Tamandua tetradactyla: one gene and its partner. The main gene of each other region encodes a partner of the protein of the gene in region 2 in a complex. Links are inferred from orthologs where the notes say so. Each region holds a gene or a part of one and is shown on either strand. Other genes may lie near its edges.

Region 1 (5,925 bases), on a different chromosome or scaffold from region 2:
TAGGCAAGGGAGGCGTGGCCTCCGCGCACGAGGGGCGGGGCCTGAAGTGGGGGGGCGGAGAATCAGGGCACGCAGCAGCTCCCGCGGAGAGGAGAGCGGAGGGATCTGGATGGACCCGGCTCCGCCTGATGCAATGCGCAGCGGGCCCCGGGGACGGATCTGGAAGTGTGCACCTGAAATCGCCGCGGGTTAAGGGGCGGGGCCTGGCCACGGAGGGATCGGGCTTATATGGCCTTTGGATCGGGGCCCAGTGCTCTGTGACCCCGCACCCCAAAGCGCCGGGGCAGACCCGGCTAAGGCGACTGGCGGGCGTCCCGGAGGGCCGGGGCGGGGTGGGGCGCTCACCTGGTTCATCCCCGTCGTCTGGGAGCCTGTGGTGCGCGAAGGGCCGCTGGCGAGCCGCCCGCCGGTACAGACAACACAGCAGCAGGAAAATGCCAACCAGCAGCCCGGTCCCCGCGAGGAAGAGGCACAGCGCCCCGCCCGTCGCGCCCCGCGGGCGCCCCACCAGAGTCACACCTGAAGGGGGAGAAGCCAGGGCGTCGAGGGGCCTGAGCTACCAGCCATCCCGCCTCAGACCCGGGGGTCCAGGCCCTCAGCCCCTCCTCCCCCAGAACCGGGGGTCCCCAAGCCTCTCCCCCCTGAGACCCGGCGTCCAGGCCCTCAGCCCCTCCTCCTCAGACCCGGGGGTGCCCAAGCCCCTCCCCCCTGAGACCCGGGCGTCCAGGCCCCCAGCCCCTCCCCTCAGACCCGGGGGTCCCCAAGCCCCTCCCCTCTCGCACCCGGGCTTTCAGGCCCCCAGCCCCTCCCCCCTCAGACCCCCGAGTCCTCGCGCCCCTCACCGGTCTCCTCCACCCGCTCCACTACGATGATCGTGTTCACTCCCTCACTCTGGCTGCGCCGCTGGGGGGCCCGTGGAGTGGCAGGGGGCTGCTGATTAGGAGGCTCTGCAATCCGGGCTGAGAGAGGAGGGGTGCTGGGCTCTTTAGGGCCAGGGTTCTGGGGTTCCTTCAGCTCGGTGGCCCCTGGAAAATCTGAGGTGGGCAGTTTCGGGGGGCTGGGCTGGGCGGTTGCAAGGGTTTCTGGCTTGGGATTCACGGACCCCTCCTTTAGGGTAGTAGGTTCATCCTTGGACGGTGCGGGTGTTTCTGGGAGATTAGTGGAGAGGTCAGGGTCAGAGGTCACGGGTATCTCTGTTGTATCTTGGTAGCGGGTTGTGGGAAATTCTGCTTGGGGTATTTCAGTGGGGCTGGGGTTGTAGAGGGTTTCACTGGGGTCAGGATGGCGGGGCTGGGAGAATTCAGAGTTTGGGGACTCAGTTGTGTTAGGATCATGGGTCTCTAGAGATTTGGGGTTGAGGGTCTTGGTGGGGTCAGGATTTGGGGTCTCATGGACTTCTGTGGCTGGGATTTCAGTGGGATTAAGTTCGGGGATCCCAGAGGATTCTGGGTGTGGAGTTTGGGTTGGGTCGGGGTTTGGGATCTCTGGGAATTCTGGGTGTGCAGTTCCGGAGGGATTAGGGTGGGGGTGGTCGGAGGGTATTTGGTGGGGAGTTTCAGCCGGGTCAGGTTTGGGGATCCGAGAAGGCTCTGGCAGAGTTGCCTCGGAGGGGTTAGGTTTTGAGGGCTCTGGGGATGCTGAGATGGAGGTTTTGAATGGGTGAGGCTTGGGGGTCTCAGGGAACCCTGGAGCTGGGGTTTCCTGGGGGTCCGGTTTGGGGATCTCAGTGAAGTCAAGGGTAGGAGTCTCAGGGGAAACCTCCTGAGGGGTCTTGTCCGGCTGAGGAGAAACGGCCCCCGGGGATTCCGTGTTGGGCCCGTAAGGAGTGGAATTTTCAGAAGCGCGCGGGGAAACAGCGGACGGGCCTGCTCCCGGGACGTCGGAGGCCGCGGACGGTGAGGCCGAGGGGGCGGCCGTGGAGCCCAGCCCGGCCAGGAGGAAGAGGAGGAGGAAGAGGGTCGGGTTGAACGGGTTCATAGCTCCGGGAGCCGCCTAAAGCTGCGGGGAAGCGGGAAGGAAGGGGTTAAAGCGGGAAGATCCGCGGAAGCCCCGCCCATTGCCCCTCCCCCCAGGTGGACCCGGGGCGGACCGCGGGCCACGCCCAGCAGGGCGCCAGGCAAAGGCGGGGACCCCGACCGCCGCTCCGCAGCTCCCCGAAGGCAGGGCAGTAGTCACAGTAGCTAAGGGAGACTGACGCCCTGAGCTTTCTGCAAGCGGTAGTTACAATTCAATTTCCTTCCCTGTTGCCCCCGGGGTCCCAGAAGAAATTGGAAAGAAGTACACCTCTCCAAGCCCGCAGGCCCTGTCTCTCTGAGGGCACCACGGGCAACTGGACTCAACAGTTGTTTACACAAGAGGAGGCTCGGGAGGCCGGGACTCCTGGGTGTTAGGGCGGGGGCACTGCTGGGTCCCCAGTAGAAGGTCAATGGGGGTCTGGACTCCCGCGTCCCAAAGGGTGGCAGAGGGGCTGAGAATCTGAATTCCCGGTTCTTTAGAAAGGAGAGGGAGGTCTGGAGGTTCTGACGCACAGGATATGGGGAGACAAAATTTGGGGGGGTGGGAGGGCTGGAAGAGAGGAGGTGGAGGTCTTAAACTCCTGAGGGAGAAAGGGATTGGGAATTCCAAATCCTCAGTGCTCGAGAGTTTGGGGTCTCGGGTAGGGACTCCAGAACCTGCAAGGAAGGCTGTTTATGGAGGATGGAGCTGGGATCCCAGGGGCTCCGGAGCAGAGATGCCCAGATGTGTGGTCAGGTGGAGACACCTGGATGGAACAAGGTCATTTGGGATCCTGAATTGGGTCCTGGGGTCTCTTACCTGCTCAGTGCAGTCCAAGACACACCAGCAGGTGAGCAGAGCTGGAAGCAGAAACAGGTGAATGTTGTAGAATGGCTCTGGGCATAGGGGGGGAGGTGGGGTCCCAGGGGTGGAGGTGACGCATCTGGCCCCATCCCCAGGGATGCTGGAAGCCTAGCAACAGGCTTGGGCTCTTAAAGACTCCCAGATAAAAGACATTGTTAGGAGTTACAGACTGGATGGCCTGGTGGTCTTCCCTTTGAGATCTGGAATCCGAGCCCCTGGCCCTCTCCTACCCTGACACCCAGAGACCAGCCCGCAGCCCCCTCATCCTCCCCCAGAACCCAGGAGTCCTGGCCCCTGTCCTCCCCATTCTCAAACCCAGGAGCCAAGCCCCAGCCTCCTCCTCTCTGGACGAGGAGCCTCACGTCTTGCGAATCAGAGAGACACAGTTGCAGCCCTTTGGGACGTTCCCACCTTTGCCCCCCTCCTGGGGGCACCCTCTTAATTGTCCATGGGGAGGAGGGTTGGGCCTGATCTCAAGACCCCCAAATTCTTCCCAGAGCAGGGCTTGGGTCCACCCACATGGAAGGCCTGGGTCCGTGTCTCTCTCCCCTCTTCACGGTCTCTGTAAGGTTTCTCTGATTTTGTCTCTGTCACCTTACCAGTCTTCCTGTGCCCCCCCCATATCCAACCATACGCCCCCCCAACCACATGTACCCTTTTCTGTCTTTCACCTTTCCCCCCCTCCCTATCACTCCGTCTTGCTGGTTCTCCCTGCCTGGGTTCACCTCTGGGCATCTCTCTCCTAGGCTGTCTGTCTCTCCATCTCCCCCTGTCTTTCTGCCAGCCTCCATCTCTATCTGGTTCTGTCTCCCCCTCTTCCATTCCTTTCTTTCTTCCTAGATTACTCCCTTTCTTACCGTCTATTCCTCTGTCACTCTGTCTGTCCCTCTCCCTGCTACTGCATCTCTGTGTGTGCGTTTATCCCCATCAGTCCTTTCTCTCTCGGTGTCTCTATCTTCTGCACTGATGGTCCCTCAGTCCAGCCTCTATTTTTATCCCTCTGACACACCCCCTGTGTCCACCTCTCTGTCTGTCTGTCTGTCCCCCTCCCTCTTCTCGGATCCAGGCTCCCATCCCAATTAGTCGGTGGTGGCCAGGCAGTGGCAGGGCCACCAACCCCAGCTCCTCATTACTGCTGGCAGCTCCTAATGAGCTTGGTGGGGGGCTGACCCCCAGCCCCCCGGGCCCCCCGCCTGCGTCACTGCCGCCGCGGGGGCTGTGGAGGCCATATAAGGGGGCCGCCAGCATCGCTGCCCAGCCCACTGCACGGTAGGGGGCCCCGTAGGCGGGCTGCAGGGTGGGTCGGTGGTGGGGTCTCCGTGCTGGGTGAGCCGCGGGCCTCACTGAGTCCCTCCCCCCTCTCTGCACAGGTGATGGAGACCCACCAGGTGCCCAGGACCCACCGGGTGCGGCTGCTGCTGCTGCTTCTGCTGCTTGTGCCCTGGGGCATCCGCACAGCCTCGGGGGTAGCCTTGCCCCCTGCGGGGGTCCTTGGGTAAGTGCGTGGGGACCAGGACACCCAGGGATGGGGTCTCAGAAAGATGGGAAGAGAGGACAACCAGAGAGAAGTAGGGACTTGGAGAAGTGGGAAAAGACCCAGAAATAAGAGGGACAAAGAGAGCAAAGAGGACAGAGGCCTGGGGGGTGGGGGGTGGGGCAGAGACCCAGAGAGACAGGGACTGAGTCCACAGAGAAGGGGACAGAGACCCAGAGAAGGGGCGGTAGAGACTCAGAGAGAGGGGGGCTGAGTTTTGGTGTGCTCAGAGAGGCGGACAGAGACCCAGAGAGGGGGAGACAGAGATCCAGAGATGGGGGAGGCCCAGAGAGGGGGACAGGGACCCAGAGAGAGGGGGACAGAGACCCAGAGAGATGGGAGAGACTCAGAGAGGGAGACAGAGACCCGGGGGTGGGGGTGGGACAGAGGCCCAGAGAGATGGGATAGAGACCCAGATAGAAAGGAAAGACAGAGACGTTGGGGTAGAGATGTGAGAGGGGGTGGACAGAGAATCAGCAAGAGAAAGAGAGAAATGAAAAGACAGATGCTGCCACTGGGAGGAAAGCGTTTAGAGATTTCAAGGGAGTCGAAGCTGTAACGGATGCGTCCCGGGGCGGCGTTCACTGAGCACTTGGTGCGCTCAGCGCATCCTGCGGAACAGAGAGGGGGCCGCAGAGACCCACGCGGGGAAGGAGACCGACAGAGAGACGGGGCCAGGGCCACCCCGCAGACGGCGCAATAACGGGGACGGCGGGGGGCTGGACGCGCGTGTAACCGCGTCTCTCGGTCTCCGCGCAGCCCCCGCACCCCGGACCGCGCCTGGGGGCTTCCCGGCAGCCCCGCATCGCGGCGGAGCCTGGCGCTGGCGGACGACGCGGCCTTCCGGGAGCGCGCGCGGCTGCTGGCCGCCCTCGAGCGCCGCCACTGGCTGAACTCGTACATGCGCAGGCTGCTGGTGCTGGACGCCCGCTGAGAGCCCCGCGCGCCCCCACCCCAATAAAGACCCCGCAGTGCGCCCGCGACTGCGCCTCCTTCCTGCGCCGCCCGCGGGGGCCCGCGCGGTCGAGCGTCTCGCCCCCCACTCTCCTCTCGCTCCTTTTTCTTTCCTTTTTAAAAACATCACCATTCCCTTCCTCTCTCTCTTTTTTTTCCTCCCCACTCCCTCTGGGTCCTAATTTCTTTCTCCTCTCTCTCTGGATCTCTGTCCCCCGCCCCCGCCCACACTCTGTCTCCTCCCTTTACTCCGGATCTCTGTTCCTTCTCTCCCGCGTTTTTCCCGCCCCTCCCCCGGGTCTCTGTCCCCCTCTCTCTGGGCCTCACTTCTTTCTCTCTTTCCACCCCTCTGGTTTCTTCGCTCTCTGGGGACCCCTGCCTCCCTTCTCTTTCTTTTTTTTTCCTTTTCTCTTTTTCCTGCCTCGAGATCTCTTCTGTCCTTCCTTTCTCTCTTTCCTTTTCCTCTACCTGACTTCTTAACGTCTTCCCTTTTTTTTTTCTTCCTCTGGGTGTCTGTCCCTTTATTCGGGTGTGACTCCTAAGCTTCATTCTCTCCGAGTTTCGGTTCCCCCCTCTCT
Region 2 (8,006 bases):
TGAAAGAAACCAAAGGTGGGGCATTGTACAGTGGAAATAGGAGGGACACATAGGAAAAGTTGGTGAAATAAAAAGGCCAAATAAGAAGGTAAGATAAAATTCAAACACTGTATATTAGTAATCACAATTAATTTAACTGGGCTAAACTCTTCAGTTAAAAGACAAAAACCATCAGAATGGATAAAAATAAAAGGTCCATGAACGAGTTGCTTATAAAAGATACTTCAGGGCAGGTCACGGTGGCTCAGCAGGCAGAGTTTTCGCCTGAGAGATTCCCAGTGCCTGCCCATGAAAAAAAAAGATACTCCAGGGTCATAAAGATACAGAAAAATTGAAGAAAAGGTGAGGAAAAGAAATGCAAGACAAATACCAGGCAAGAGACAGCCAGTTTTATTTATTAAATATTGTTCAATTTAATATAATAGTTTATAAAGATTAAGAGGTTTGCTTCATACTTACAAAAGGGTCAATCTGCCAGTCAGTATAACATTTCTTAACTTGTATATACCTCATAACATAGCTGCAAAATAGATGAAGCAAAACATTGCAAAACTTCAATGAAATATTGAAAAACTCCCCATTCGTGGGAGATTTTAAGACATAGCTCTCAGGAAAGAATAGGTCAAGAAGATGAAAAAAATGCTTATGGATACAGGATGCATATGGATGCAGAAGGAGGGAGGAGCACATGGGGTGAAGAGATTAAAAAGAGCATTATTCTACTCCACACCCCTCTACCTGGAAGAAGGAAAAGACTGATAAGGAGTTCTCTAACACTAAATCAGGAGGGAAATTTGAAATCATTTTTGGAACTGAGATGGGGAGAAAGGGGTGGGACATGTCTTGGCACCTTTACCTCCCTCCTGGAGCTGGGCTGTGATGTTGAGCTCACACTGGCCTTTAGCTTTCAGCACAAGGACAATCTGCTCCTCTATAGTAATGGTGCCATCAGCATCCAACTGCAGAAAGAAAATACAAAAAACAAAGAGAGAAAAACATTCCTAACATTTTAAAAGTACCTTCTAATATAATTTAACTTAAAATCTTGATAGCAAGTAATCTGAAATAGTCTTTTACTTGAATTAAAATGCAAAATCTGTCAGTGTATAAGACTTTAGGGTAATTTTAGTTTTACTTGATTAGCCTAAAGAAGAAAATCTTATACCAGAGAATGGGAAGAAAATTTTAATCTAATTAGATAATGATATTGCATATGATATAATTGGAAAAGTATGATTTCCCAGAATGCTACGAAGACTCGATAGTTTATTGATTCTCTTGCAATATGTGACTTTATTTGTGACACTTAGAAAGTAATAGAATGGAAATCTACCAAAATAATGCCAGTAAAACCTGGAGCAAATCATATAACATCTTTGGCCTTTAGTTTATTCATCTATGAAATATAAGGGTTACTCCAAATGGTCTCAAATTGCCCTTTTGCCTTAACAGCCTAACTCTGTAATGGTGAGATATGCACTAACGTATTTATTATCCTTTCAATCAATATACATTAAATACTTTTTAAGTAAAAAAATAATGTGACATTATAGTAAAGACTTTTATTTTCATTTTTTTTTCTTCAAATAAAATTGCATAATAAAATCCCACATATATATTCTGCTCTGGCTGAGGCCTAGGGGAAGATAATTGCAGAATCACACTGTTACCAATTTGAATCTTCCCTTCCCCCTGAGCCTGCTCTGAAAAACCACAAGGTTTCTCAAACTTGATTTGAAAATCACTTTTAATAGAAATGCAAAGATGTAGAGTAGCATTTTATAGGACCCCAAAACAAAACTGCTTTCTAAAATGAATACATTTCTACTCCTAGAGAAATGTCCCAAACCACAGTGCAATTAATCTTCCTTGGTTAAATAGAGACTGGTGATTAGATAGTTGAGAAAGTTAGATATAGGTTAGTGATAGATTAGATAGATGATTACAGAGAAGTAGACGGCAGATTACACAGATAGATGAACAGACAGATTAGATGATTATGTTATTAATATGTTAATGATAGATTAGATAAATGATGATTATAGAGAGATAGAGGACAGATTAGATTAGATAGATAACAGATAGATAAATATAGACATAGATGCAGATAAAGGTTTGTGACTGGTGACAGTGATGATAATCACAGTGGCCTGGGAAGAACATTATCTTTCCCTATGGTAATTTGCTTAGGAAAGAGGTCTTTCCCAAACTAGCTTAATCACAGTCTTTTCAGGAAAGCTATCCTTGACACTCCCATGCCTACTCTTAACTTGACTCTTTCCTTCTCTGTAACTTCATCTGTCCCAATACGGTCTGAGTTTATCACGTTTTTATTTTTATTTTTAATATATATTAGGCTGCCCAATACAAGGTATCTACTAAATGTACATTAACTTTGAAAATATTTCTATAGGTCTGTTTCTCAACTAACCTCTGAGCTCCTTTACAGAAACAGCTTTGTTGCTGGGTGCCTTTCTACCCACTCCCACTCAGAGCATGTTTCTAACACACAAAAAGTGTTTGATAGGGTTGGCCATGGTGGCTCAGCAGGCAGAGTTCTCGCCTGCCATGCCGGAGACTTGGGTTCAATTCCTTGTGCCTGCTGATGTAAAAGAAAAAAAAAAAGCATTTGATAAACACTTGGCTGGGAGACTTCTGGGAAGACGGTCAAATAGAGCAGCTTAAGATTAGCCCTGCTCCATGGAAAAGTTAGAGAAGGGACAGGAAGGTGATCGAGGCAGCAATTTGGGAGTGTGGCTGATGCGGGAGAGCCTTCTGCACCACACAAGGCAGCCCTGGTTGCAGAGGTTGAGGAACTGAGAGGCAGAAAGCTGGAGCCTGGAGCAGAGGCTCAGAGCCCATGGGAGTACATGGACAGGAGCCTGGGACTAGGAAGTAAGCCAGGTTGTATTCCTTGAGTGTGCTACCCTCACCAGCGCAGCCCCATGACTGGCAACTCAGCCCACACACCACATACCTGAACTCTGTCACCCGCTCCCATTCCCTGTGCTCCAGACACCCCCACCCCCCCAGCCTACATACCTGCCCCACAACCCAATCCTAACTGCAGCCCAACCCACTTCTCCTGCACTTCTCCTGCACCCCTCCCAAGTACTACCTCCCCCTCCCTGTTCCCCACAGGCTGTTGCCAGCGCATAAAGGCTGCAGGCACTAATCTCCATACTCAGGCTACTCCCGCCACGTGCCCATAGTTTCACACAGCCTCACGGCACCTCCCCTGACTCTGCATATCAGTTAATGGCTTTCCTAGGCCCACACATGCACAAGGGTCCCCAATCACGTCATTCAGCTCTGGGAACCACACTTTATAGCAGTCCTAGAACCACACATGTACACGGCCCTCAGCCACAATTCCCAGCTCTGAGCAAGTGCTGAACTGCACAGCGGGTTACATCTGCCCCCAATCCATGAAGGCATAATACCAACCTACTGCCACAGCTCTATGCATGAGCACAAAGGGCCCCATGCCTTAGGCTGGCACACACCAGAGTTATGCCCTTCAGACCGGAGTACCCACACAGCTACATTTTCCCTGGCCGCTGAGTGCCCACATTCACAAGCATCAGCATAACATCCCCAAACTGCGCCTATATCTGCCCTGAAACAAATCACCACACTGAGTGCCCCACCCTGTACCCTGCTCCCTGCTGCACATCCATCCCACAAATGCAAGGCCTTAGACTACTGAAAGAAATCAACTCCCAAAGTAAAGCAATCAAGATATTTATGGGTGGGCCATGGTGGCTCAGCAGGTAAGAATGCTTGCCTGCCATGCCCAAGGACCCGGGTTCAATTCCCGGTGCCTGCCCATGTAAAGAAAAAAAAAAGAAAAAGAAAAAAAAAAAGATATTTACATCCCACGAAGACAGCAGAAGATCACTAAGCATATTACAATGCAGACATATATAGCACTGCCTAATGACCAAATTAAAACACTAGATGAGACATAGATGTTGGAACAATTAATCAAAGATGTTCATACAACTCTAATAGAATTAGTGGGATAGCAAATGACATAAAGAATATCAAGAAACAGTAGATGAGCATAAAAAGGAATTTGAAAGAATAAATAGAAAAATAGCAGATGTCAGAGATTAAAGACTCTGATGAACAAATAAAAAATATACTAGAGGCACACAACACCAGATTTGAAGAAGAAGAAGAAATAATAAGTGGTATAGAGGACAAGATAACTAATTTCAAAGACTCAAAACAGCAAATGGCAAAAAAGACGGAAAAAATTGAATTCAATCTCAGAGAAATGATAGACAACATAAAGCACACAAATATAAGAATCACTGGTGTCCCATAAGCAGAAGAGAGGAGTAAAGGACTAGGAAGAGTAGTTGAGGATATAATGGGAGAAAACTTCCCAACTCTCATAAAGGACATTAATATACAAATCAAAGAAACCCAACGAACTTCAAACAGAATAAATCCAAATAAGCCTTCCCTAATGCACATACTAATTAGTCTGTCAAATGTTGAAGAGAAGCAGAAAATCCTGAAAGCAACAAGAGAAAAACAATCTATTACATACAAGGGAAACTAAATAAGACTGAGTTCAGACTACAGCTAGCACCCTGATGGTGAGAAGTCAGTGGTATGATATATTCAAGATCCTGAAAGAGAAAGACTTTCAGCCAAGAATTCTGTACCCAGCCAAACGACCTTCAAAACTGAGGGAGAAATTAAAGTTTTCACAGACAAAGAAGTCCTGAAAGAATTTGTCAACAAGAGACTGACCGTACAAGAAATACTAAAAGGAGTTCTGCCTATTGAAAAAGAAAAGCAGGAGAGGGAAGTCTGGAGGATGGTACAGGATTGAAGAGTACCACTGACAGTAATTTAAAGAATACAAAGAGAAAGAGGGAAAAGAATACATAGGTCTGACAAATAAAATATAAAAGATAGGATGGTGGATTCAAGAAACACCTTTTCAATAATAACTTTGAATGTAAGCGGACTAAACTTACCAATTAAAAGATACAGATTGGCAGAATGGATTAAGAAACATAATCCAGCTGTATGCTGCTTACAAGAGACTCATCTTAGACACAAGGATACAAATATATTGAAAATGAAAGGATGGTAAAAGACTTTCCACACAAGTTGTAACCAAAACAAAGATCAACAAGGAAATAGAGAAGTTAAATAACCTGATAAATGAATTAGACCTAACAGACATATATAGGTCACTGAACCCCAAAATACAAGGATATACATTCTTCTCTAGTGCACATGGAACATTCTCCAAGATAGATCATATGTTGGGGCACATAACAGGTCTTCATAAATTCAAAAACATTGTAATTATTCAAAGCACTTTCTCTGATCACAATGAGATGAAGCTGGATCTCAATAACCAAAGAAGAATGAGAACATTCCAAAATATGTGGACATTAAATAACATATTCTTAAACAACCAGTGGGTCAAAGAAGAAATTGCTAGAGAAATCAGTAGCTATCTGGAGATGAATGAAAATGAGCATACAACTTATCAGAATTTATGGGATGCAGCAAAGGCTGTGCTGACAGGGAAATTTATTGCCCTAAAAGCCTGTATTAAAAAACTAGAAAGAGCAAAAATCAAGGACTTAAAAGCACATCTGGAGGAACTTCAGAAAGAACAGCAAACTAACCCCAATGCAAACAGAAGAAGAGAAATAACAAAGATTAAAGCAGAGATAAATGAATGGGAGAACAATAGAAAGAATCAATAAAACCAAAAGTTGGTTCTTTGAGAAAATCAATAAAATTGATGGGCCACTAGCAAGACTGACAAAGAAAAAAAGAGAGAGTATGCAAATAAACAAAATCAGAAATGAGAAGAGGTGCGTTACCACAGACCCTGAAGAAATAAAAGAAATTTTAAGAGAATACTATGAACAACTATACGTCAACAAACTAGACAACTTAGATGAAATGAACAAATTTCTGGAGACACACCAACAAGCTACACTGACTCAGAAAGAAACAGAAGATCTAAACAAACCAATCACAAGTAAAGAGATTCAATCAGTCATCAAAAATCTTCCTACAAAGAAAAGCTCAGGGCCAGATGGCTTCACAGAGGAATTTTATCAGATATTTCAAAAAGAATTAACACCAATCCTGCTCAAATGTTTCCAAAAAATTGAGGGCAAAGGAACTCTACCTAACTCATTTTATGAAGCTAATATCATTTTAATACCAAAACCAGGTAAAGATGCTATAAGAAAGGATAACTACAGGCCAATCTCCCTAATGAACACAGATGCAAAAATTCTCAGTAAAATATTAGCAAATTGAATCCAACAATACATTAAAAGAATTATACACATGACCAAGTGGGGTTTATACCAGGAATGCAAGGATGTTTCAACACAAGAAAAATCAATTAATGTAATACAGCACATTAACAAATCAAAAGGGAAAAATCACATGATCATCTCAACTGATGCTGAAAAAGCATTTGACAAAATTCAGCATCCTTTTCTGATGAAAATACTTCAAAAGATAGGCATCAAAGATAACCACCTCAATATGATGAAGGGAATATATGAAAAACTGATAGCCAGCATTGTACTCAACGGAGAGAGACTGAAAGCTTTACTCCTAGATCAGGAACAGGACAAGGTTGCCCACTATCACCACTATTATTCAACACTATGCTAAAAGGTCTAGCTAGAGCAATCAGGCAGGTCAAAGAAATAAGAGGCATCCAAATTGGAAATGAAGAAGTAAAACTCTCATTACTTGCAGATGATATGATACTACACTTGGAAGATCCTGAGAAATCTACAGCAAAGTTATTTGACCTAATAAACAAATTCAGCAAGGTGGCAGGATATAAAATTAAGGTCCAAAAATCAGTAACATTTCTACACACAAGCAATGACCTAACTGAGGAGTCAGTTAAGGAAAAAATTCCATTAAAATAGCAACTAACAGAATCAAGTACTTAAGAATGAACTTACCTAGGGACGTAAAGGACTTCTACACAGAAAACTACATAACATTGCTAAAAGAAATCAAAAGAGATCTAAATAGGTGGAAAGACATTCCTTGCTCATGCACAGGAAGGCTAAATATAGTCAAGATGTCAATTCTCCCTAAATTGATCTACAGATTCAATGCAGTACCAATCAAAATACCAACAAACTACTTTGAAGATTTGGAAAAGCTAATTACCAAGTTCATCTGGAAGGGAAAGAGACCCTGAATAGCTAAAAGCATTCTAAAAAAGAAGAATGAAATGGGAGGATTAACACTTCCTGACTTGCAAACCTATTATAAAGCCACAGTGGTCAAAACAGCATGGCACTGGCACAAAGACAGAAGACCAATGAATCAAACCGAGAGTGCAGAAATAGACCACCAAATCTATGGTCAACTGATTTCTGACAAGGCCCCCGAATCCTTGGAACTGGTACAAAATAGTCTTTTCAATAATTGGGCATGGAAGAACTGGATATCAATAGCCAAAAGAATGAAAGAGGACCCCTTACACCCTACACAAAAATTAACTCAAAGTGGATCAAACACCTAAATGTAAGTACTAGCACCATAAAGCTTTTGGAAGAAAATGTAGGGAAACATCTGCAAGATGTAGTAAAAGAAGGTAGCTTCCTAAACTTTATACCCAAAGCACAAGCAGCAAACATAAAAATAGATAAATGGGAACTCTTCAAAATCAAATGCTTCGGCACCTCAAAAGACTTTGTCAAAAAGGTGAAGAGGCAGCCAACTCAATGGGAGAAAACATTTGGAAATCACATATCAGACTAAGGTTTGATTTCCTGTTTATACAAAGAAATCATACAACTCAACAGCAAAAGAAAAAACAATCCAATTATAAAATGGGCTAAAGATGCAGTCATTTTTCTGAAGAGAAGATACAGATGGCTCAAAAGTGCATGAAGAAATGTTCATTATCATTGGCTATAAAGGAAATGCAAATCAAGACTACAATGAGGTGCCACCTCACACCTATAAGAATGGCT

Evidence for each region. The genes of interacting proteins can lie anywhere in the genome.
Region 1: the proteins of PTH2R (region 2) and PTH2 are in contact, whole or in part, in a cryo-EM structure (PDB 7F16), measured with the Homo sapiens proteins. The link is inferred for Tamandua tetradactyla from reciprocal best matches to the Homo sapiens genes PTH2R and PTH2. Residues at the interface, in NP_005039.1 of Homo sapiens: Thr31, Ile32, Ile34, Gln37, Ile38, Asp68, Gly69, Leu70, Ile90, Tyr91, Asp92, Phe93, Met112, Lys117, Ala120, Tyr122, Leu126, Gln130, Pro131, Ser134, Lys137, Gln138, Phe141, Glu142, Tyr152, Arg190, Ile194, Lys197, Val201, Ile205; in NP_848544.1 of Homo sapiens: Ser62, Leu63, Ala64, Leu65, Ala66, Asp67, Asp68, Ala69, Ala70, Phe71, Arg72, Glu73, Arg74, Ala75, Arg76, Leu77, Ala79, Ala80, Leu81, Glu82, Arg83, Arg84, Trp86, Leu87, Tyr90, Met91, Lys93, Leu94, Leu95.

Annotation. Positions count from the first base shown.
Region 1 is NC_135342.1:11,682,516-11,688,440, forward strand, and holds PTH2 (parathyroid hormone 2), read left to right. Parts: upstream 1-4,232; coding exon 4,233-4,354; exon of another isoform or gene 4,355-5,152; coding exon 5,153-5,327; downstream 5,328-5,925. Other genes in the region: GFY (Golgi-associated olfactory signaling regulator), read right to left, coding at 346-519, 843-1,977. UniProt on the Homo sapiens protein: Plays a role as a potent and selective agonist of PTH2R resulting in adenyl cyclase activation and intracellular calcium levels elevation. Induces protein kinase C beta activation, recruitment of beta-arrestin and PTH2R internalization.
Region 2 is NC_135329.1:183,952,343-183,960,348, reverse strand, and holds the start of PTH2R (parathyroid hormone 2 receptor), read right to left. Parts: upstream 3,002-8,006; coding exon 2,978-3,001; intron 960-2,977; coding exon 857-959; intron 1-856. UniProt on the Homo sapiens protein: This is a specific receptor for parathyroid hormone. The activity of this receptor is mediated by G proteins which activate adenylyl cyclase. PTH2R may be responsible for PTH effects in a number of physiological systems.